Linked DNA regions of Macaca mulatta. The protein of the gene in region 1 interacts with the protein of each later gene in a pairwise test. Links are inferred from orthologs where the notes say so. Each region holds a gene or a part of one and is shown on either strand. Other genes may lie near its edges.

Region 1 (7,472 bases):
CAGAATAATATACCATTGCATTTTCAGTAAAAATAATGCTCCATGAATTCTTTGACGAAGACTACACATTTCAACAATGAGTTAAATCAGTCTTCATATTTTATATTGAAATAGCATATCTCAACTTGAAATTCTGATCTTTACAAATAGAAAACATGTGAGTACTCCCTGCTCTTTCCCCACATCCCTGTACCCCAAGCTGCACATCCTAGACTGTTATATTGAGGATCTTTTAAATGCTTTACCTTTGCAGTGATTGGTTTTGTCATTCCCTTGAAAATCCTGCGAAGTTTTTTGAAGGTTTAATTCCGCATAGGTTATTTCCTGTTCAGTTACTAAAATGGAGCTTGTATTACCCTTAGGTTTTTGCTGCTGCCTCTTTGGGTTTGGGGGCAGATTCAAGTCTGAGTAGATTACTCCTTGGTTATCCATCTCTGCAGTGTGTGATGTCAGGGACTGTACTCTACAATAACCGTAGTTAAGAAGTTAATAAATGGTTTATATACAATATTCCCTAGTGCAGTTAAAAGGGTGAGGTGGAGAACGAGTATTGGAGCTCATTTTGCATTAAAGAATCTAAAGTTCTTTCTCTAATTTTCTTCAAGCCTAAACAAGTTTCTTATGGTAAAATATTTGTTTTAAAAAATATATTTTTGGGTCGGGCGCGGTGGCTCATGCCTGTAATCCCAGTACTTTGGGAAGCCGAGGCGTGCCGATTACAAGGTCAGGTGATCCATACCATCCTGGCTAACACGGTGAAACCCCGTCTCTACTAAAAATACAAAAATTAGCCGGACACGATGTCAGGCGCCTGTAGTCCCAACTCTCAGGAGGCTGAGGCAGGAGAATCGCTAGAACACGGGCGGCAGAGGTTGCAGTGAGCAGAGATCGTGCCACTGCACTCCAGCCTGGGCGACAGAGTGAGACTCTGACTCAAAAAAAAAAAAAGAGAGAAATTTCTACGTTTGACAAAATATTATTGCTGGGGCAATAAGAAGCAATAAATTACTAAGGAATAAAGAAGTTCAGGAATAAAAATACATTTCTTAAAGTCTGATGCTTTACCTGTATTAAAAATTAAAATGTATTAGAAAAAGTTCTGCACTCATTTTTTATGTTAATTTTGAAATCCAGTAATGGTTAAGACGATGTGGTCTGCACATGAGTAATAGTAAAGTTGAGATATATACACACACACACATATATATAAATTTCTTGCACTAAATTACTTTTATTTAGTAATTTATATACATTAATAAAAATCAATAGGGGTAATTAAATGGTCTTTTCTTAATGGTTGAAATGTTCTAAGAAATTATTACAAATTATTTAAATTATTAAAAATGATTACAAATGTGAATATTTGTACATGTCAGACAATGCTATGTGACACTGTTAACTTATGAATAACCTAAATAGTATTAGGAACACCACATAAATTGTTAATACTTATAGAAGTATTGGTAATTTAATAAGTAATTGGTAATTTATTTCCTGGCTAAATTATGAACCAAAAAATGATAAATAAAAGTACAGGTAATTCATGTTAAAGCACATTTCATTTAAACTTATAGAAAGATTTTACAGTTGTCAAGGTGAGTAAAGGCCACTTTTGTTGTATAAGTACTTGTAAAATTTCAGATAATGTAATTAAATCATTTAGTCAATGGGCTCTGGAGTCAGTGAGATCTAGAATGAATTCTAGCTTTGACACTTACAATGTGTGACCTTTAAAAAGTTATTCTATGTTTAATAACCCAGTTTGTTAATCTAAGACGGGAATAAGAACATATAAAACGTTGCACGTAAAACATTTACCACTCAACCTGGCACTTAAAGTTCTCAATAAGCATTAGCTATTTTAATTATTATTTTAGTCACAATTGTTATGTTACTATTTCTGATTCGTGTCAGTTAAAGAATGGAAAATGAATCTTCAGATAAGTCTCCTATATCCGTGTGCTACATCTTTTTTTGCAATATTTTGATAAACTTTAAAAAAGTATTTTGATTGTTTTGTATTACCTTTAGCATTTTATGTACTCTACCTCATTGTGATTTTTATTAAAAATAAAAACGCTTTTATTTAATCTACATGTCTGAGGAACTGTATTTGGCTTTCATCAATTGATTCATTTATTTTAATAATTTTTAATGGCTAAGCTAAATATAAATTATTATTCAAAGATACATGATGTACTGATTACAAAATACAAAATTAATTGTTCATTATTGTGATGTTAATAGGTTTCACCTAAATTATATTGATCAACAAACCCACTAGGTTTCCACAAACAAGAATTTGAAAACTTTAAGAAATCCTTCAACATATTTCATATGGTTTTTACCCTGAGTTATTCAAATGAAGACAGCAATATTCTACTTTGATTTTACTGTATATTAATTATACCTCCTTTGTACCATATTGAGCACTTGTAATCACCCACTAAATGAGGTAGGCTAGTAGAGAGTTGGAGAGTAGCAACACATACCTTCTGTCCCCAGAAAGTCACACATCCTTTAGTGGAGAGGCCAGGTTAGTCTCAAAAAAAGGCCTGCTATAGCTGGGTAATAAAAGGTGAAATTTAAAGGCATAAATCCAGGATAAGAACAAACAATGCCTACAATCTTCGCAGACTGCCCTGTGAAGGCTCAGAGTGAGTCAAGAGTGGAAAAAGTAGATTTCTCATCAACATGTTACTAAGGTTTGAACAGGAAATTCTACACATGGGCTATTGTGAAATCAGTTTAATCTCATCACACACCTCCAAAATATAGGATACTCTGGTCTGTTAAAAGTACAAGGTTGACTTTGAAAGTGGGTCATTTAGTTGGTCCATTTTTCAAGCGCCTATGAGAATTTTTTTTTCTGTTTTGATCACAAACATTGCCAATCCTCACCTTGTTAAGAGTGCCTTTTAGACTAGCTTGCTAAATCTTAACATTGCATACTTCTTTTCTTTATATTATTTTGTTATGTCACCTCCATTATAATAGAAAACATTCTAAAACTCATAGTAACATTATCAACTGATAGCTACTGATTTTTTCCTTAATTATTCTGAAAAATTACTGCAGTAATTACTCAGTTGACTGTAGCTGACACAAAAACCATCATTGCCAAAGTTATGTTATTAACTTAGTTCTTAAATTTTTGCATTTAATTTTTAAAAAATAGATTATTTAATCTTCAGATTACCGTTGATGAAAATAAATGTATCTTGGAAAGGTAAAATATTAATCAATTTTGAAATATATTAGCATACCAGAGATTGAAATATTAAATAGCTATTCATCACATTCTTCATTTATCCATTCTCCACCATAACAAATTATCTCAACTTCGATAGAAATATTTAGTTGTAAATGACAAAAACTGAAGGCAAGCTCTGTATCGGGAAAAAGTAATTTTAAAATCTCACTAGGAGGAAAGTCAGCAAATTGGCAGAATAGGTGGTCCCCCACACATATGCCCCAACAGCAACAATAATGTTTCAGCCATCCACAGACAAAAGTGGAGGAAACTCCCTTTGAGGGAGTTTTGGAATTCAAGTAGGAGTTTGTAAAATGCCAGTGGAACCCAAGGCCTAGGAGGGTTGCTTTAGAGAATAGATTTGCATCCAAGTGGCAGACTTACCAACAGTGATTCCATCTCCAGACCTGAAAAGAGACCCATCCTCCTGTGGACTTGCCTTCAGCCACATTAGGACTTCGTCATGCTGCCAAAACCATCTGTCCAGGGGCCCAGGAGGAGACTCAAACACTAGTGTCTCAGGAGGTAGGCATATCAACTGTAGTCTCAATGTAGACCCTGAAACAGCCCTCTAACTTGGCTTTAGCTACTCTCAGCCACAACTTTTGAGATCAGTCTTTCACCCACAGAGACTTCCTGGGAGACATACACATCTGTTCCCCTGGGGCATGCTTGCTGACCTCTGTCCTCTAGAAGATATTAAAATGGCCCTGAATCTCCACTCAAACTCCTCTCAACTGTGGCCTGAATTAATCACAGGAAATTGCTGTGAGACTCACTCATCTTTGGCAGCAGTACAGGCTTGCTGACTTCAGTTCCATGGTAGTTTCTGAAACAGCCTTGAATCATGACCCTCATCCTTCTCAGCTGTGGGCTGTGAGCAGTCTTGCCAGCTCAGGGATACAGAGGGAGGGCATGTGCATCCATGTCCCGACTGGGAGACCATTGACCTAGGTTTCACAGCACATCCTGAAATGGGCCAGAAAAGGGGGTTCAACCCTTCTCAGCTATGCTAGAGAGCAGTTTGCCCACACAGGGACCTGGAGAGAGACACCATAAGTGCCCCTAAAGGTACAGACCTTAGTTTTATTTCAGATCTTGAAACAATCCTGTGATCCAGCTCCAGCCCATCTTAACTACAGTCTGAAGCAAGTTTGCCTGCCCAGATACCTGCCAGAAAACACACTCATCCATGACCCCAGAGACAGACATGAAGACACTGGTTTCAGCTATAGACTCCGAGGAAACCTTGTGACTTAGCACTAACTCCTCTCAGCCACAGGTTGAGGAACCCACTCAGAGACCCATGAGCAGCCTTCCCAGAAAACTAGATAAACTCTCCCCCAACTACACACCTAATAATAGACCCACCATCTACAGACCCTGAAGTGGACCCTCATTCCCTCCCCAGCCCTATAGAGTATGATGCTAGAGCCAGTTTGGTCCTCTGAGGGACTAAGGAGGATACAAGCCTGCTAGAAGCCCTAGTAACAGGATCATGAACCAAAGATCCCACTCTGGACCCATAAGCAACCATGTGATCCGGCTGTAACCCCATTCAACCATGACACTGAAGGCAATCTCATCAGCCCAGGACCCTAATAGGAGAAGGTCTTAACCTACCGAAACCAGTCTGTAAAGACTGAAAGAGATGTCTGCTCTTTCAAGTGCACAGACACCAGTACAAGGATAAACAAATAACAAAGCATCAGACATATATGACACCACCAAAGGAAATGAATAAAGCTTTAGCAACTGATTCAAATAAATGGAGATCTATAAGTTTTCTTTAAGATAATTCAAAACAATCATCTTTAAAAATCTCAGTGAGATGCAAAAGAAGAGAGTACTAAAAACTCTAAAACAAAAATACATGAACAAAATAAGAATTTAATAAAGAAATATAAGCCACTAAAAACAACCAAACAAAAATTCTGGAGCTGAAGAACACAATGAAAGAAAGAAATAAGTCAATAAAGAGTTTCAATACCTGACTCAAACACACAAAAGAATTAGTGAACTCAAAAAAGAGTCATTTAAAATTAACAAATTAGAGTAAAAAAAGAAAAAAGAATAAAAAGTGGCAAATAAAGCATAAGAGACCTTTGAGACACCACCAAGAATATGGTATAGAAAGTATAGAAACTTCAGAAGGAGAAGAGAGAGATAAAAGGTCAAAAATATTTTTTCTTTAAAGACATACTGTCTGGAAACCTTCCTCACTTGGGAAGGATATGGAAATCCAGATTCATGAAGCTCAATGAATCATAAGCAAGATCAGCCCAAAAAACACTATTATGAAGCACAATATAATCACATTGTCAAAAGTCTAAGATAAGAGAATCTTGTGGGGGGTTTTGTTTATTTTTTAGCTTAACGTGATCCCATTTGTCCATCTTTGCTTTGGTTTCCTCTGCTTGTGGCGTATTACTCAAAAAATCTTTGGCCAGTCAATTGTCCTTGATAATTTTTCCAATTTTTTTTCTTTCAACTTTTATTTTTAGATACAGGGAGTACATGTGCTGGTTTGTTACATGAATTTTTCCAATTTTTTTTCTTTCAACTTTTATTTTCAGATACAAGGAGAACATGTGCTGGTTTGTTACATGGGTATATTACACCAGGATAGTGAGTATAATCCAAAGTAGGTAGTTTTCTGAACCATTCTTCCCTACTGTCCTCTCCCCTCTAGTAGTCTGCGGTACCTGTCGTTCCCATATTTTTGTCTAAGTGTGCTCAGTGCTTGGTTTCCACTCATAAGTAAGAACCTTCAGTAGTTGGTTTTCTGTTCCTGCATTGATTTGCTTAGGATTATGGCCTCCAGCTCTGTCCATGTTGCTGTAAAGAACATGGTTTTATTCTTTTTTATGGCTGTGTACTAGTCCATGGAGTATATATGCCACATTTTCTTTATGCAATTAATCACTGATGAGCACGTAAGTTGATTCCATATCTTTGCTGTTGTGAATAGTGCTGTGATAAAATGTGTGTGTGCATCTTTTTGATATAATGATCTATTTTCATTTGGATATATTCCCAGTAGTGCAATTGAGGGTCAAATCGTAGCTCTGTTTGAAGTATTATGAGAAATCTCCAAACTGCTTTCCACAGTGGTTAGTCTAGTTTACATTCCCACCAATAGTGTATTAGCATTTTCTTTTTTCTACAGCCTCACCAGCATCTGTTGTTTTTGGACTTTTAAATAGTGGTCATTCTGACTAGTGTGAGACGGTATCTTATTGTGGTTTTGATTTGCATTTCTCTGATGATTAGTGATGATAAGTGTTTTTTAATACGCTTGTTGGATACTTGTATGTCTTCTTTTAAGGAGTGTCTGTTCATGTCCTGTGCCCATTTTTAAATGAGGTTATTGTTTTTCCTTGTTGTTCTGTTTAAATTCCTTACAGATTCCGGATATTAGACTTTTGTCAGATGCATAGTTTGCAAATAAATTTTCCCATTCTGCAGGCTGTCTGTATATTTCATTAACAGTTTATTTTGCTGTGCAGAAGCTTTTTAGTTTAATTAGGTCTCATTTGTCAATTTTTGTTTTTATTGCCATTGATTTTAAGGACATAACCAAAAAATTGTTTGCCAAGGATGATGTTGAGAAGGGTATTTCCTAGGTTTTCTTCTAAAATTTTTAGATTGAGGTATCACATTTAAAATTTTAATTATCTTGAGTTAATTATTCTATATGGTGAAAGGTAAGGGTCCATTTTAACTCTTCTGCACATGGCTAGCCAGTTATACCAGTGATACAGAAACTAGAAAGAAATTATTTAGGCAGATAGTGAGGGTAAAGGAATCCTCAGCAAGGCTTCCCTTTTAACAAAAAGCAGCCCCAAATAACTTCTTTTCTAACAAAGAGTAGCCTGAAAAATCGAGCAGCAGACGTAGATAAGCAGCCTGGAAGGTTGCATGCATGAATGATGGCAGCTGTGCCAATAGAAAAGGGACTGACTGGAAGTCAGGTATTTTCAACATGGAGGCTCCATCTTCCCTTTTCTTTGTCACTAGTAAAGAACCAGGGAACATGGCACAGGCCAGGTAGACAACCATCTGCATAATAAAAGATTAGGGTTGAGTGGCCAGCTTCTTTAAGCGCTATGCAAATGGCATGCCTGGTCTGACCAATCTTTCATGCCCTATGTAAATCAGACCCTGCCCCCTCAAGCTCATCTATAAAACCCACATTTCACTGCAGAAGCAGCAACCC
Region 2 (7,341 bases), on another chromosome or scaffold:
GCACTCGTGAGTATTTCATTTACTCAGTTGCCAACTCACCATGCAAACCCACCATGTAATTTCTGGGATGGCTTTAATTCAACGTCTTTCACATACTCAGAGACAAGATTAAGCACTGTTCTCACTTCAATAGGACTGGGATCTTTTCTCCGTTCCCTCCCCAATCCAGAAGGTAAAAACATAAAGCAGGGTTTTCCACTCCTTGCTTATCTTCTCTGTATAAATTACCAAATGAGTATTTTAGCAGTTTCTATTTGTACTGTGGTTCAAGGAATTTGGTTAATAATGCTTCAGCTTGGGACATGCTCGGGTATTACTAGGTACAGAGCCGTAAGAGGGAAAGTCTAGCAAAGAAATTGGATTATGCAAAGCCAGGACCAAAGGCCACTTCACTGCCTGTTTTATTGAACTGGATCTAAATTGGTTTCTCTCATCTGGTGTAGCATCTTGAACATATATACTGGATCTATGAGTAGCTGCAGCAACATTTAAAGTTGTATTTCTGTGGCCTTTTAAACCCAGGATGTTAGGAAAGCTCTGCTATATCTATAGGTCCTTCCAGCCTGAGGACACATCTTTTGGAACAAAAGATCATGTGGATCCAGGTCCACGGGCTTTTAACACCAATCGCTGTGGCCTACCCAGTCACCAAAACAGCTCATCCTGTTTACCTCCGCCTGTCTGCATCCAAACACGCAGGGCTCCTGGCTGGGCATTCCTTTCCCTCTGGGTGCTTAGGGTATCTAGTTGGTGCTTCTGCTGCCAACTATCCCTTAATTTGACCCTCATGAAGCCTGGCTTCCACATCTCTCAAGCAAAGATGCTGAGGACAGAGGAGAAATACAATCTTCTGGATTAAGGACTCCAAGGCTTAGCTTAGGGTTTTGCAAACAGCTTCAAGTCCCCATCTTGCAACAAGGAAATATTCAAAGGTTTTGATGCTAGGTGGCATCAGTGAGGTCCAAGACCTGGAAAGGCAGTCAGTCTTGTGTCCATATGACTGATGGTGCAGTGAGGCAGTCCCACTGTCACTGCAGCAGAAAAGGGCAGGACATTTCTGAATAGGCACAGCCACCAAACCAAAGATACACGTTTGATCCAATGTCCCAAGGGGGTCTGCCTAAGGCTTAGCTATCATACCACCTTTACAGCTCCCATGTCGACATTTTTTTTTTAAATCACAAAAAGCATTATCCTAAGTGATCAGGAGGGCGCTAAGGGCATGTCTCTAGATAGAGTGAACCATAATCATGCCCAGGATCTCAGCTTCCCCAGTGAGATCACCACCCCTCCCATTTGCCTTGGACTCATGGCTTCCCGTCACATCCCAACCCACTCCAGCAACAGCATTCTGGCTTGTGTCTTCCAATAAGCGTTTCCAGCTCTGGACTGAGAAATGTGTTACAGGCATCCGAGGACAAGCTCGTGGAGCACAAAACCAGCCTCACCGTTTGGTGATGATGAGAAACAGTGGTGGACATTTCCTGAGGAAGAGGTGCTACAGTTCTGCCAGAGATCAGTTGCATGTCCATTCCCCACGATCCATTGCTAGAGAGAATCAGATAGATATCCTGAGTCAGGGAGGGAGTGAGGAGTGAAGGAAAAGGGGAAGGAGAAAGGCCCAGGGATGGCGAAAAGCACCCTGATGCACCTAGCTACCCCGCCCACCCCTGCATGGTAACAGCCAACGTTTTATGACTTAAAAGCACGTTGTAAATGGAAAAGTTCTCCATGCACACGGAAACGATTATGTGCAGAGATGTTTACTATAGTAGAAGGAGCCATGAACTCAACCTGAGACACCTGCATTCAAGCCTTCTCTCCTCCCAGCATCCCTGGGGATCATTCCCCAAGCCCCTCTCTCTGAGTCTAGTTCCTTGTATACAGCTCCTATCAATCTGATGTTATCATCACCAGGCACCATGGAGATACTGTGAAGATGCTTGTAAATGTTAAACCAAGTCACAAATCCCCAACATAATTATCTCTCACAGAGACTACAAAATCATGCTGACAGGCCGGGCACAGTGGCTCACGCCTGTAATCCCAGCACTTTGGGAGGCGGAGGCGGGCGGATCATGAGGTCAGGAGTTCGAGACCAGCCTGGCCAACATAGTGAAACCCCGTCTCTACTAAAAATAAAATAATAAAAATAAAAATGAGCCAGGTGTGGTGGCAGGCACCTGTAATCCCAGCTACTCGGGAGGCTGAGGCAGGAGAATCGCTTGAACCCGGAAGGCAGAGGTTGCACTGAGCTGAGATCACGCCATTGCACTCCAGCCTGGGCGACAGTGCGAGACTCCGTCTCAAAAAAAAAAAAAAAAGAAAAAAAAAAAAGAAAAGAAAAATTAAAAAGAAAAAGAAAAAGAAAATCAGGCTTACAATGTGCCTTAAATTAAGAAGTGAAAGCCACCATAGGAAAACTGCCTGAATGTCTGCTCATCTTCATCGCCAAGAAAATAACTTTAAGATCTCATGGGTTGGACAGTTTTGTAACATAAGTTACTCTGATGGCCTGTTTCTATCAGTGGAAGCTTTACTAACAAGGCGTTGTGTTCATGACGTAAAGGCGACATGGGACCAGTGAACTCTTTTCCAGAAAAGCCCATTTTAACTTTCCAATTTCAAGTCCTAAAAGGGTGTTTTATAAATTAATTCACCCATCTGACTACGGTTTGGATTAAAAAAAAATCCATAAATACCCCTCTTCTTCAATGAGGCTGCATCAAGAAAAAAAAAAAGTTAAACAATCTTATCAAATGAAGGTCGGGGCCCCTAGATCTGCTGTGAAGTTATTTGGCTTAAATAGAGACCTGCGCACCTAACCCAGCCCAGCGCTCGCTTCGTTTCTATCACTGAATCTGCTCTCGTTTTCTCAAAGCAACTGGAAGGGGGCAGATTGCCAGAAACTTCCCTGGGACGTCTGAGACTTCCAACTGTCTGCAAATAACACAGTCCTGAACCAGAAGGAGCAAGGGCTGGGAACCCAGATAGGGAAGAGCGGGCCGCGCAGGGAGCCTCCCAGCCAGGCACTCACGCTGACGATCGTGGAGACGAACAGCAGCACCAGCACCGCGACGTGGAGGACGATGATACCCAGCAACAGGAGGAGCATTCTGGCGGCAAGTTCTGCTCAGCGGAGTTTCTGCCTGTGGGGAGAGCGCTGGGCGTGAGGCCGAACGCACTGGGCCGAACGAGGGAGGCGCGCGCAGAGGGAGGGTCCCGCGCACTAGCGTGAGGCCCGGCCTGGCCCAGCGCCCGCAGCCCGCCCGCCCGCGCGGGTCAGGAGCCTTCGCGCCGCCTGCCGCCGAGAGGGGGCAGCAGCCTCCTGCAGGACCAGCGCCCAGCGTCCAGCGCCCAGCCGGACCCGCCTGCAACGGAACATCTTTGCTTTTAGAAACAAAACAAGCGGTTCGCACGTCTAAAAACACCCAGGGAATAGAGGGGTTTCCAGAAAATATGACCAGAGGCCACTGCACGCTTCCACCCACCCCGAGCGCCTCCCGGAGACCGCCCTGTAAGGGGAGAGGTCCCGTTCTCCGAGACCCCAGTTCAGATTGTGAATTCGCCTACGGGGTGGAGGTAGGGGTGAGGGGAGTAGGCGCCCAGATTTCCGTGATAGACCTGGAGATACCCGTGACATGCGCTGGGAGAGAGAGCAGCGAGGAGGCTGGTTTCCCAGACCCCAGTGCTCTCCGCATTCCGTTCGTCTCCAAGTTTCCACCCAATTCTGCCAGCGTAGAGGAACCGTCCTGGCCCCAGCTCAGCCTCGCGCAGACTCTGGCGGCTCCGGAGAGGCGGTGCAGAGCCAGAGGAGTGTGGAAAGGAAAAATGGCTCGGGAGGGTTGCCCGGACCCTGCGCTTCCCGTCCACCGCGCGCTTCCCCAGGCGCGCCCAACTGAGACTCCTGGGGGCAGGGGGCATTCTGCTCCTGCGCTAGACCCGCATGCTCGCCTAGGGGTCCAGTCTGCACCCCAGGCACTCAAAGCCAGGACACGGACCCCATCAAGACTGAGCTCCGGTCTGGGCGCGGTGGGACAGGAGCCCAGGAGCCTGGACCGAAGGGAGTAGATGTCCAGCGGATGGGAGAGAGAGACAGAGTAAAAGGCCGAGTCCGATAATTTCAGCCGGTCAGAGCTGGCAGGCCATCTATCCCAAGTAATGCGGTCCTCGCCCCTCATTTTAGACTTTGGGGGCAGTGAAGGCTGGGATGACTTGTTAGAGGACATGCATGGCTGTGGAAGATCTGACTGAGACTCTGGGGACCATTTCAGGCAGAGTCTTGGGCCAGGGAAACAACGTTTCAATAACCCAGTTTGGAAAGTACCCAATCTCAGGCCCCTCCGTTTCTCTCCACAAGCATCACATTCAAAGACACTGGAATGCGCTGGAAGAAATAAACAAGGATTTCTGATGACTCCCAGAGGGTTTGAATTAAACCTCAGATGGCATGAGGCTGGGAACTGGGGAGCCACAAGAGTCCAGCACTCTCGGGATGTCCGCCACAGGGGCTGTTTTGCCACTGTGTCCCGGAGTCAACGCCTCTTCAGCAAGGCGAAAACTGAGACGCCCTTATCCTCTATCCAGACACCAGCACCATCACCCTTGCCCTGTAAGGTCTTACAGACCATAAAGGCTCCCCTCGTTGTATTACGCCAAGCCCCATTGGAAGGGAACAGGACACACAAGGGACCCTGTGCCCCTAAACAGAAGCTCCAGGGAGCTGGCCAAAGCCCCGCGCCTGCTCTGCGCCTTCTGACACCCTCACTGGAAGATGCCCACATTTCTCCTCCATCTCCTTCACTGTCCCCACCAAATCACTTACAGCCCAAAGGAACAGCTGTCCCGATCCTCAGGGTGGCCTCAAGTACAAACTCGGGTGCGTTGGCTCCGCTGCCGGCGCGGTCAAAGCTGCGCTGCGGGGCTGCGCGCGCGCGAAGCAAGGGGGCAGTGGGAGGCTCCCGGCGTTCCCCTTTAACGGGAACAACGCCCTGTTTGCGTCGCTGCAGTAGGGTGTGTCCCTGGGTCAGCGTGTGCGGGAGGGCGGGACTCAGGGAGGAGAGAGGGCAGGAGAGAGGGAGGGCAGGAGACAGTTAACTTGGCCTTAAATGCGCCTCAGGGAAAAGTTGGTCTCTGCAAAATCGCGGCGACTTTTACTCGAAACCAGAGGCGGCCGAGCTTTCTCACCTCCCACCTCCCTCCTCCCCCGGCCCCGTGGAGATCATGGAAACCTAGTGTTGACCGAGAAACTGGCTCCTCAGCCCACCCTGGGAAGACTCAGCCAAATGTAGCTCCGCGGATGCCCAAGGATGGGCTTCGGGGCGCGCCGACGCCGACCGCGCCCGCGCGGGGCTGAGGTTGGATTCCACTCCCATTAACAGAGGGCAGCGGGCGCTTGAGCGCTGAAGGAAGTCCCTCTCTTCTCGGGTCCTGGAGCCCCTGCCCTGTCCTGGCGTCTTAGCCGGGCACACCTGCACCTCGTCGGTCCCCGCTATTACTGTCTGCACCTACCAAGCATGCCGGCTTCCTAGGATTGGCAGGGATTGATCTAGCGGGCTCTGCTTGAGTGCGAATTAGGGAAAGAAAAGTCCGGCGACTACCGGATAGCGTGGTCTGGGATTGGGCTCCTCCTAGCCTGGGCAAAACCAGACTACCACCGAATAAGCTCAGGCAAAGTGTTCCTGCAGCAGTCGGGCTTGGCTGTCAGCCTTGGCTGGCGTCCTGGCCATGGGGTTTAGGGGGCGGGTGCGAGGTGGCCATTTGAGGTGGGGTTGGAGCAGCCAAGGAAATCAGCTGATTCATAGCCTCCTAACGTGACCCGCCCAGCGTTACAGGGAGAGAGGCTAGCCCTTCAGTCTCCGCTTGGCAGAGGCGCGCCCAATGAGACTCCCGTGCGCAGGCCAGCCTTGATGCACAAGACGGGGAGCAGGAATGTGGATGTTAAAGGTCTTTGCCTGAAAATGCAGCAGTTCACACGCGCGCGCGCGCGCGCACACACACACACACACACACACTTCCCTACCTCTAGTGTACTGTGTCATAGAAGCTCATCCCTCTCAATGATTCAAATAATTCTATATTAATTTACAATTTGAAAGGAGCTGCTACTTTAGCTAATTGTATATTCTTACTGTAAGTAAAAATAAATTTGAAAAAGTCTTCAAACGGTGATCTTTTTAAAACTCTCATGTTATCAGATTAAAATGAAGTGTACTTGTAAATTGTATTTACAGTTCCCATTACACGCCAGGCACTTTGTCTGGACTTTTGTATGCATGGTCTGTGAGAGGCAGTGGTTAGGCATTCTGTCTCTGGGCTCCAACAAACCTAATCACCTTGCTTACTTTTGTTGTGAGTTTGGACAATTTCTGAAGTTCAGTGAGCTTCAGTTTTCTCAGATGCAAAAGGAACTAGTAATGCCTGCTTTAAAGGTTTATGGTGATGATTGAAGGAGACAATATGTACAAAGCAGTTAACATCGTGTCTGCAACATAATAAGGGCCCAGTGCCCAAATTGCCACCACTATTGTTATATCACATTTAACTCTCACATCAACTCTTCAGGGAAGACCTGACCACCTCTGCATGAAAGTAGCTTGTAACTCTGATTCGTAGGTCGATCGATCGATCGATAGACAGGTAGATCGATAGATTGATAGATATTTATAAATGAAAGTGCATAGGCAAGTAGAAAAAAAATGTCTAAAGACCTGGAAGTGTTTTCTTTCCTCCATGGGTCATTTTATAGGTTAGATTTGCTCTAGAAATTATTACTTTGTTTTATGCTGTTTGGACATTTATTTATTTAACCAACATTTTTGTGATTACTACGTACTCAGGACAGTTCTAAGTAAGCACTTTACAAATATTAGCAAATCTAACTCAGGATTTTCCTTCCCTTCCTTTGTGATTTTCAAATAAACTTTTTAATAAAGTCTAATACACATACAAAAAAAGTGTACATATTGGGTGTTACAGGTCGCTTCTTCCTTTCTTTTGAACCCAATAGTTTAATCAATAACCACCCAGGTCACAGCAACACCATACGCTGCCAGACAGGTAAACCCAACCCATCTGTCCCTCACTGCCTCTGGTCTCCTGCCTGGCTCTCAATGGTGGGAGAGGAAATGCTACTCAGTGCCTGCTGACCAGGCTTGCCACACCCAGAGCCTGGCTGGTCAAGGCTCTGCCACAGGTGGCAGCTTCTCCCTAACCTGCTTACCAAGGCCGCCTGCCGGGTGTGTGTGAACAGCTATTTTCCATGGGGGAAGAAGCATCTAGATTCCTTTCTTCCTTTCAATCTGGATGCATTAGGGTTTCTAGATGCTCTCAGATGGCCCC
Region 3 (7,597 bases), on another chromosome or scaffold:
TCTTGAACTTAGTTAAACATCATCGGCTTCCCAGTAAATCTGCTCCTGGGGTGTGTAAATTGGAATTACTCTTTTGGATGGCAATGTGGTAACATCTGGGAAAATGACAATGTGCATATCCCCTGTGACCCAACAAGTCACATCCTCCACGTGTTTATGGGAGAAATTTCCAACAGGTAACTACAGAGGCAAATATGAGAATGTTCTTGGCAATGCTGTCTGCAGTAGCTAAAGGCAGCAAATTGGAACTATCCCAAGTGTCTATTAACAGAAGACTGGATAAACAAAGTCAACATGTATAAATCTCAGAACATAATGTTGCCTGGAAAGCATGTTGCAGAAGGATATGTACGGTACGCTGGCATTTTCATAAAGTGTGAAAACGTAAAACAATGCCATGTGTAGGTCATATGTGTGCAGTGAAAGTCTAGACTGTGCTTGGAAGTGAACACCACATTCAGCTTACAGGTGGCCTTGAGGATGGAGGGAGAGAGAGAATAAGATAACAGAAGGATGTCTAGGGGGCTTAGATGCCATCTGAAAGCTTCATTTCCTTAATACATAAAAGCAAACAAGGCAAAATATTAAGATTTGACAAAGTTGGGCAATAATTATATAGGTGTCTGTTAAAGTATTATATATATTCTGTGATATTTGAAATATTTCTATTTTTGTTTTTTAAACTTGAGCGAAATTAACATATCATCAAACCAATCATTTTAAGTTGACAGTTCAGTGGCATTTAGTGCATTCATGGTATTGTGCACCCACCAACTCAATCTAATTCCAAAGCATTTGCATTACCCCCCAAAAGGAAACCCCATAGCCATTAAACAATTGCTCCCCTCGGTGCCTGGTTAACCACCAGGGTTTGTGTTCTGTCTCTACAGATTTATCTATTCCAGATATTTTATATAAATGGAATCATACACTATATGACCTTTTGTGCCTGGTATCTTTTGCTTAGCATAGAGTTTTCAAGGTTTATCAACTTTGTAGCACGTATCAGTACTTCGTTCCTTGCTATGGCCAGGTCGTATCCATCGTTTGGGTGTGTCGCACTTTGTTATTTAGTTCATTGCTGATGGCCACTGGGCTGTGTGTTATTGTGAAGAGTGCTGCTATGAACATGGATGTGCCAATACTAAAGTCCCTGCTTTGAATCCTTTGGTTATATACCCAGGAGTGGAATTGCTGGGTCAGAGGGTCATTTTCTGAGGGAACACCAAACTGTTTTCCACAGTGACTGAACCATTCACATTCCCACCAGCGACATACAAGGGTTCTAATTTCTCCACACCCAATACTTGACGTTTTCCATTTTTTGGATGCTAGCCAGCCTAATGGGTGTGAAGTGGTATCTCATTGTGATTTCTTTCTTTCTATTTATTTATTTAATTTATTTACTTATTTATGTATTTTTTAAGACCAAGTCTCACTCTGTTGCCCAGGCTGGAGTGCAGCAGCGTGATCTTATTGCAACCTCTGCCTCCCAGGTTCAAGCGATGCTCATGCCTCAGCCTGCTGAGTAGCTGGGACTACAGGCATGAGCCACCACGCCTGGCTAAGTTTTTAAAAAAAATTTTTTTATTTTTAGTAGAGACATCGGTCAGTCTGGTCTCGAACTCCTGACCTCAGGCGATCCACCCACCTCAGCCTCCCAAAGTGCTGGGATTACAGGCGTGAGCCACCGCACCTGGCCTCATTGTGGTTTCAATTTTGTTTTCCTAATGCCTGATGATGTTAAGCATCTTTTTATGTCCATATTGGCCATTTGTATATCTTCTTTGTAGAAACCTCTGTTCAAGTCCGTTGCTCATTTTCTAATTGGGTTGTCTTTTTGTTGAGTTGTAATATTCCATAATTTAAAAAAATACCTCCCCCGGGGTGGCCAGCGCCTTCTCAGGCCGTTTAATTCCGCATTCCTTCCACACATCAAATATATACAGCTTCATATTTACAGTCCACACAGAGGAGAACAGAGAGGCTTGGGGCCAGCTTTCTCCTCTTCTCTCCCAGGCACCTGCTAGCCCACCCCTAATCTAGAGCATGAGGAAGACGCCTGGAGGTGACTGTGCGTTGCGGGTCTCCTGGGAAGTGAGGAAGGGAGGTGGGGAACAGGGGTGAGGTGGAGAAGTGACTTTCTAAGTCAGCTGAGAGAAGCGTTCTGGGCGAGGGGGAGTTGTTTGTTCTGGAAGCCCCGTATGGGCAGGCCACAGAGCCACGCTGGCGCTGTCGGAGCAAGCTGCCAGTAGTAGACGGTTCCAAGGTTTCCCACACCCCTGTAGTCTCTGCAGCATTGGTGGGTTGGGTGGGAGCCTCCGGTCACCTTTCCCGCAGATGAGATCGCCCCGTCTCACTGGACTGTTCCTACTCTCAGGGGCACTCCCTCTTGTATGTTGAAGACCAGCGAGGGGCTGGCTCTCTGTGAATGGTGGGGCTGCGTTCATTGGCTTCCCGGGTTTCCTCTAAATGTAACTGCTTTGATTCCGCCTATCCCTAGGATTTAAAGTCACCGGTTCCACCCAGGTTGGGGTTCGACTCGACTTTCACCCCAAGTTCAATGATAGTCCTGCTCCCAGGCCGCCGCAGCGGCCCCTGCCTAGCCTCTGCCCCCAAGCCCTCCTTGGACGAACTGACCCTCCCCCTCCAATCAGGCAATAACAACCTGGGGTCCAATTTTTAAACAGCCAGGCTCCGACATTTTCTTTCCCCTCCAACTCTCCACGCCTGTGCTTCTGAGGGTGGGGTGCCGGAAAAGGTGTCCCTGAGGCGGCGACGGACCGCACCCACAGAATATACAGGGCACACCCCTCCCAGGTGAGGGCCAGCGGGCCCCGGGGAGTTGAGGCTGAGGGAGGTCACTTCGGCCTCGCGACGCCTTGAGCGTTTATCAGGAGTTCTCAGTAGGAAGCGCTTTCCCGCAGCCTCAGGCAGAGACCGTGCGCGCAAGGCGGGACCGACCGCAGGTGCAGAGGCCCCGGAGCTGCCCAAGGTCAGCCAGGGCACGCGGATCGCTCTCGCCGGCCCCCCAACCCCCGTCTCCTCCACTCCCACCCCACACACGGGGCAGAAGGACTGCGGCCGCGCAAACTAGGACCTCATTTCCAGATCGAATTGGTCGCAAATACGTCCCCTCGCCAGAAACTGTAAAAGGCCAGAAGAAAATAAACCGGATTCAACTCCCTCTCATCTCCAGATCTCGGTTGGTAACACTAACGTTTCTTTTGCTGATTTTTTTTTTTTCCGACACTATCTCCCTTCAAAACGCTGCGCACTTCTACCCAACCGCGCAAAGCGCGGCGTGAGCTTCGGCGGCGCCGGGCGCATCTGGAGGGCCCCGAGCGCAGCTCTGGGACCAGCGCACCAAGAGCCGTCCCCGCCTGACCCGCTGCCAACATCCGACCCCGGTTGGGAACCCGGTTTTTCCTCCATAGTCCTGTAGACTGTTTCCCTCATTCCGTTGGTCTAGAAGGGGACAAACGACCGGAGGTGGGAGGGGGCTTCCCTGGCTTAGTCCCCGCCCTGTCCCTGCTGCCCCGATGCTCCCGGGACCTGCGGAGCTAGCGGATCCAGTCCGAGAGCTGTGCTGGGCGCCCGAGAGAGCGCACGGCTCAGCATCCCCCAGTCCCTTCCCTGGCCAGGAGTCACTCACAAACTCAAAGATGAAGAGCAAGTCGGGGAAGGTGGTGAAGACCGAGAAGCCACTGGGCAGGGTGCTGCCCCCCGACGCCGCTGCGGGGGCCATGAGGGCGTGCTGGCGTGGGCCTCGGGACTGGACGCGCGCCGCTCAGACTGCGCGCAGACCTCTCGCTTGCTCCGCGGAGCCCAGTGGCCTGGGCGCCCCCGCGCGCGGGTTAAGAGCAGGGGAGCCCGAGCAGAGGAGGGAGGAGCCCAGGCCGCCGCCCAGCTCCGCCCCCAGCCCCACGCCCCGGCAGACCCGGCCCGAGCGCCGCGGGCACCGCCCTGAACCTCCTCGAGGGCCCGCTGCGGGCGTGCAGAGCTGGGGACGGTGGACCTGACTCCTGCGTTCCAGCCGTGGGTGGCACCTCTTGTGGGAAGCAGGGCAAAACCACTTTGGTCAGGGGCTCCTCATGCCTTTCTCGCTTCGTAGGTGACCAGTATCTCCTAAGAATGTTAACCATCAGTAACCGGGACCCCAAACCCACCAAGGCACCCCTCGGGTCACCATTGCTCTAACTTTGAATTTGGGTCTCCTTCATTTTGCCGCTGGATGCGTTAATGTGCGCGACCCACAGCTCCAGGCGGCGGTTTCCTGGCGGAACGGGACCGCCGCCACAGCCTGGGGGTCTGCAGTGGGGGCTGGGACCAGCCCCGGCCGCCGGCCCGTTCCGCGTACCCCGAGCCGGCGCTGGTTCGGCGCTGGGAACGTGCACCGGGGCCTCTGTACTTGGCGCTGCGCGCCTGCCTGAGGGAAGAAGGTTGCTCCCAGCTGTGCCGGCCCCAGCAGAAGGCTGCTGGTGGTGGTGCTGGGGCAGGTCTGCCTTGGTTCCATGGGACAGGAAGGGACGTTACCAGAAGAGATTCATCTCTTTCTCTTGGTCTGGGCAGCCCGGGCCTTTGGAGGGTGGGACCGCTGCTACCTCCACCCGCATGTTCTTTGCTGCCTGTTGACTGCCAGTGTTTCCTGTTTTGTTTCTCTGTTTCACTATCTATTACTTTTTGCCTTAAAAAAAAAAAAAAAAAAAAAAAAAACAAGTATTACTATACAGCAGTTGCCTATTTATTTTAATTTACTATTAATAGTGGATTGCTGTGTTTCCTCCTACAAACACTGAAGCCTGAAATCCGCCCCCGTCCGGATTCTCTCCTGCCAAGAGGGAATTGTCCCCGCAGCCTCCAGCTCAGACTCCCAACCCTTCTTTCTTTTCACTGGCAGCTGCTGCAGGCAGGACAAGGGGCTCCCCTCTCTCCAGTGGGGCCCTCATCTCTCCCTGCTGCACAATTCTTCCTCCTTCCCAGTCCCTAGGGAGAGAAGTACATTCGTGGACGCATTTTCCAAAGAAAAGTAGCGCTCCCATCAGCTGGCCATTCTAAAGCGCCTCTGGAAAGGGGCCAGGCATTTGAAATGAGAAAACCCCGCTGTGCCTCTGAGAGAGCTGCTAGCTCGGATGGCTGCAACCAAGTTCACTGTGTCGGGTCCCCAGGGCAGCATCTCTCTGGGCACAATGGGCTGTGGGACTTCAGAAGCCCAGGTCCTCACCCACCGTGGGCATCTCATAGCTCGCTAGTTGGACCTGCTGGCCTCTGAGAGGACATCTTCTTCCTCCCCAGGAGACCGTCCTGGGAACAAGCCTTAAAGCAAGGTGGCTACAGGAAGCCGCAGCCTGCAGTGGGGGGTGAGATGACCCTCGGGCAGTCCAGCGAAAGCAGCTTGGAAATTTCCCATCAGCACACACTAATTAAAAACAAGAAGATCCTATCAACTCCTAATAATGTCCTTGCCTGGTCTGGAGGGGTTTTGTCTGTAGTTTGGTTTGGTATTTTGCTACTTCTTTCACGCCTCTGTTGCTAACTCTTCCCACTTGGGCCTGAGCCTTTGGGGAAAGCTCACTCCAGGGGCAGCTCAGTCGAGCTCAGCAGTCCCAGCCCTCCTTTGATAAGGCAGAGGGGCGGCAATCTCTGAAAGAGGCTTCAGAGGATGAGGAGGGCAGCCCGGCCAGGGTCAAGCGAGTTTGTCCCTATCTCTGTGACTCCTTCCTTCCACTGGAGTTCTCCGCCTGATGTTCATCTTCATGACTAGACTCTACCCTCCGCAGGGCGTCCTCCAACCACCCCCATCTGCCTCTCTCCTTCCCCACCCTAGCATATCCTCAGCCCCAAGCCGAACCCAACCTCTGGTGAGTGCTCGATGCTGGATGGCTCCAGCCTTGTCTGTGCTTGACCACCAGAGGAGGACATGTAAGTGCCCTGTTTGGATGTAAGAAGCACTGGTAAGGAGTGAGGCACTGGTAATAGAGAGGCATTGGTAAGAGAGAGGCATTGGTGAGAGAGAGGCATTGGTGAGAGAGAGGCATTGGTAGGCTTCCCCAGGTGCTCTAGGTCACCTGCTGATGAACGAAAGGCATTGGTGAGAGAGAGAGAGAGAGAGAGAGAGAGAGAGAGAGAGAGAGAGAGAGACATTGGTAAGAGAGAGGCATTGGTGAGTAAAGATGGGCCTGTCTTCATTTCCCAGCACAGCTTCCCCACGTGCTCTGGGCCACCTGCTGATCAATGTGGTGGTTGATACTTATCAGAAGCCCAGGACCATATTTTGGTTTCCAGCAGGATATGAAAAAATAACTTCAGCCAGTAGTAACTCAGTGAGTGTCCTCAGTCTTCCCAGTGGGTGTGAATAAGAGGGTGGATCTGGGGCTTCTGTCAAATATTAACTTGGCCTTGGGCGGGTTTCCACAAAGTAGGAATTGGAAAGTTGCCATTGCAGAGCCAGCCTGGGGAAGGAAGAGGTTACCTCCAGCTTGTGTGTGTTCAGGGGGAGGGAGGAGATTGTGGGGAGAGGGATGTGTTTAGGGAAAGATTAATGGGGCAGGAGTTGCCCATTCATAATAGCAGGTGCATTGGTTTTTGAGGTAGGTAAGATGACTCCCATTTTACTGATGAGGTAACAGAGGCTCAGAAGTGTTAAGTAGCTGCCCAAGGACACAGAACTGCTGAGCACCTTGAACCTGAGTGACACTGCACCTCTAAAGCTTCGAACCCTCGATGAAAACCCTGCTCAAGATTAGCAATTGCCATTCAAATGCCAGTTCCATGCAGACATCGGCAGCCTCCCAAATCCAGTCTTCATGGTCATCTCAGGCGTGGCCCTGGGCACCTGCCCTGGTGGACAGGGCTTGGGACCTTCACCTCTGGGAACAGAAGGTAGTGGGGGTCGTCATCCCCATTTATGGATGCCGAGGCTGGGTGCAGACATGAGTTCAGAGAGCTACCCTGAACCCACACTTATCCCTAGGGATTTTATTTGTCTCACAGACACAGTCACCCACAGCCCTGGGTTCCATCGAAGGCGTGAAGCAGTGAGGGCACCTGCTGGTGGATGGGGGAATGGCAGCCTCAGCTGCCTTGGCCTCAGTGCAGGAGGGGAATCTGTTACTAAGGGCCTGCTAAGTCCCAGCACTGCCACAGGCACTTTGCCTGCATGGCCTCATTTAATCCCACAGAGCCTTGCCGGCAGGTGTCACCCACCATACAGGCTAGCGATGGGAGTTAATGTGCCCAGACCACATGGCTGGTGACCAGGCCTCTTGATTCCAGCAGGCAGGCTCTGTGTCTACTGCACAAATCCACAAACTGGAAAATCAGAAGTGGTGGCTGCTCACCAGGGCACTGTCCTCTGACGGGCCACGGGCTCCGTGTGCCCACTGCCTCCAGGGACAATGATCTGCATGAGCTCTTTTCCCCACCCTCTTGTAGGATCATGTTTTCTAGAACCAGGGAGATGTGGCACAACAGGCTGGCATTGTCTGGGTGTCTTGTGGATGGGGATGGAGGGTAGAGGGTATGTGAGTAGGAAAGACAGAGTCCCTGCTCCCTAGGAGAGCTCTTTTCAAGAGGGACAGCAAGTGAGGCTGAGAGG

What was found.
Region 2: the proteins of KLRC1 (region 1) and PMP22 interact in binary tests that used the Homo sapiens proteins (3 or more experiments, as listed by UniProt). The two-hybrid records come from large-scale screens. The link is inferred for Macaca mulatta from reciprocal best matches to the Homo sapiens genes KLRC1 and PMP22.
Region 3: the proteins of KLRC1 (region 1) and MAL interact in binary tests that used the Homo sapiens proteins (3 or more experiments, as listed by UniProt). The two-hybrid records come from large-scale screens. The link is inferred for Macaca mulatta from reciprocal best matches to the Homo sapiens genes KLRC1 and MAL.

Annotation. Positions count from the first base shown.
Region 1 is NC_133416.1:10,112,577-10,120,048, reverse strand, and holds the start of KLRC1 (NKG2-A/NKG2-B type II integral membrane protein), read right to left. Parts: upstream 3,882-7,472; 5' UTR 3,638-3,881; intron 2,673-3,637; exon of another isoform or gene 2,565-2,672; 5' UTR 2,493-2,564; intron 464-2,492; 5' UTR 433-463; coding exon 246-432; intron 1-245. UniProt on the Homo sapiens protein: Immune inhibitory receptor involved in self-nonself discrimination.
Region 2 is NC_133421.1:16,749,985-16,757,325, forward strand, and holds the start of PMP22 (peripheral myelin protein 22), read right to left. Parts: upstream 4,974-7,341; 5' UTR 4,826-4,973; intron 3,150-4,825; 5' UTR 3,116-3,149; coding exon 3,038-3,115; intron 1,549-3,037; coding exon 1,449-1,548; intron 1-1,448. UniProt on the Homo sapiens protein: Might be involved in growth regulation, and in myelinization in the peripheral nervous system.
Region 3 is NC_133418.1:4,386,953-4,394,549, reverse strand, and holds the start of MAL (myelin and lymphocyte protein), read right to left. Parts: upstream 3,834-7,597; 5' UTR 3,749-3,833; coding exon 3,656-3,748; intron 1-3,655. UniProt on the Homo sapiens protein: May be involved in vesicular trafficking from the Golgi apparatus to the cell membrane. Plays a role in the maintenance of the myelin sheath, and in axon-glia and glia-glia interactions.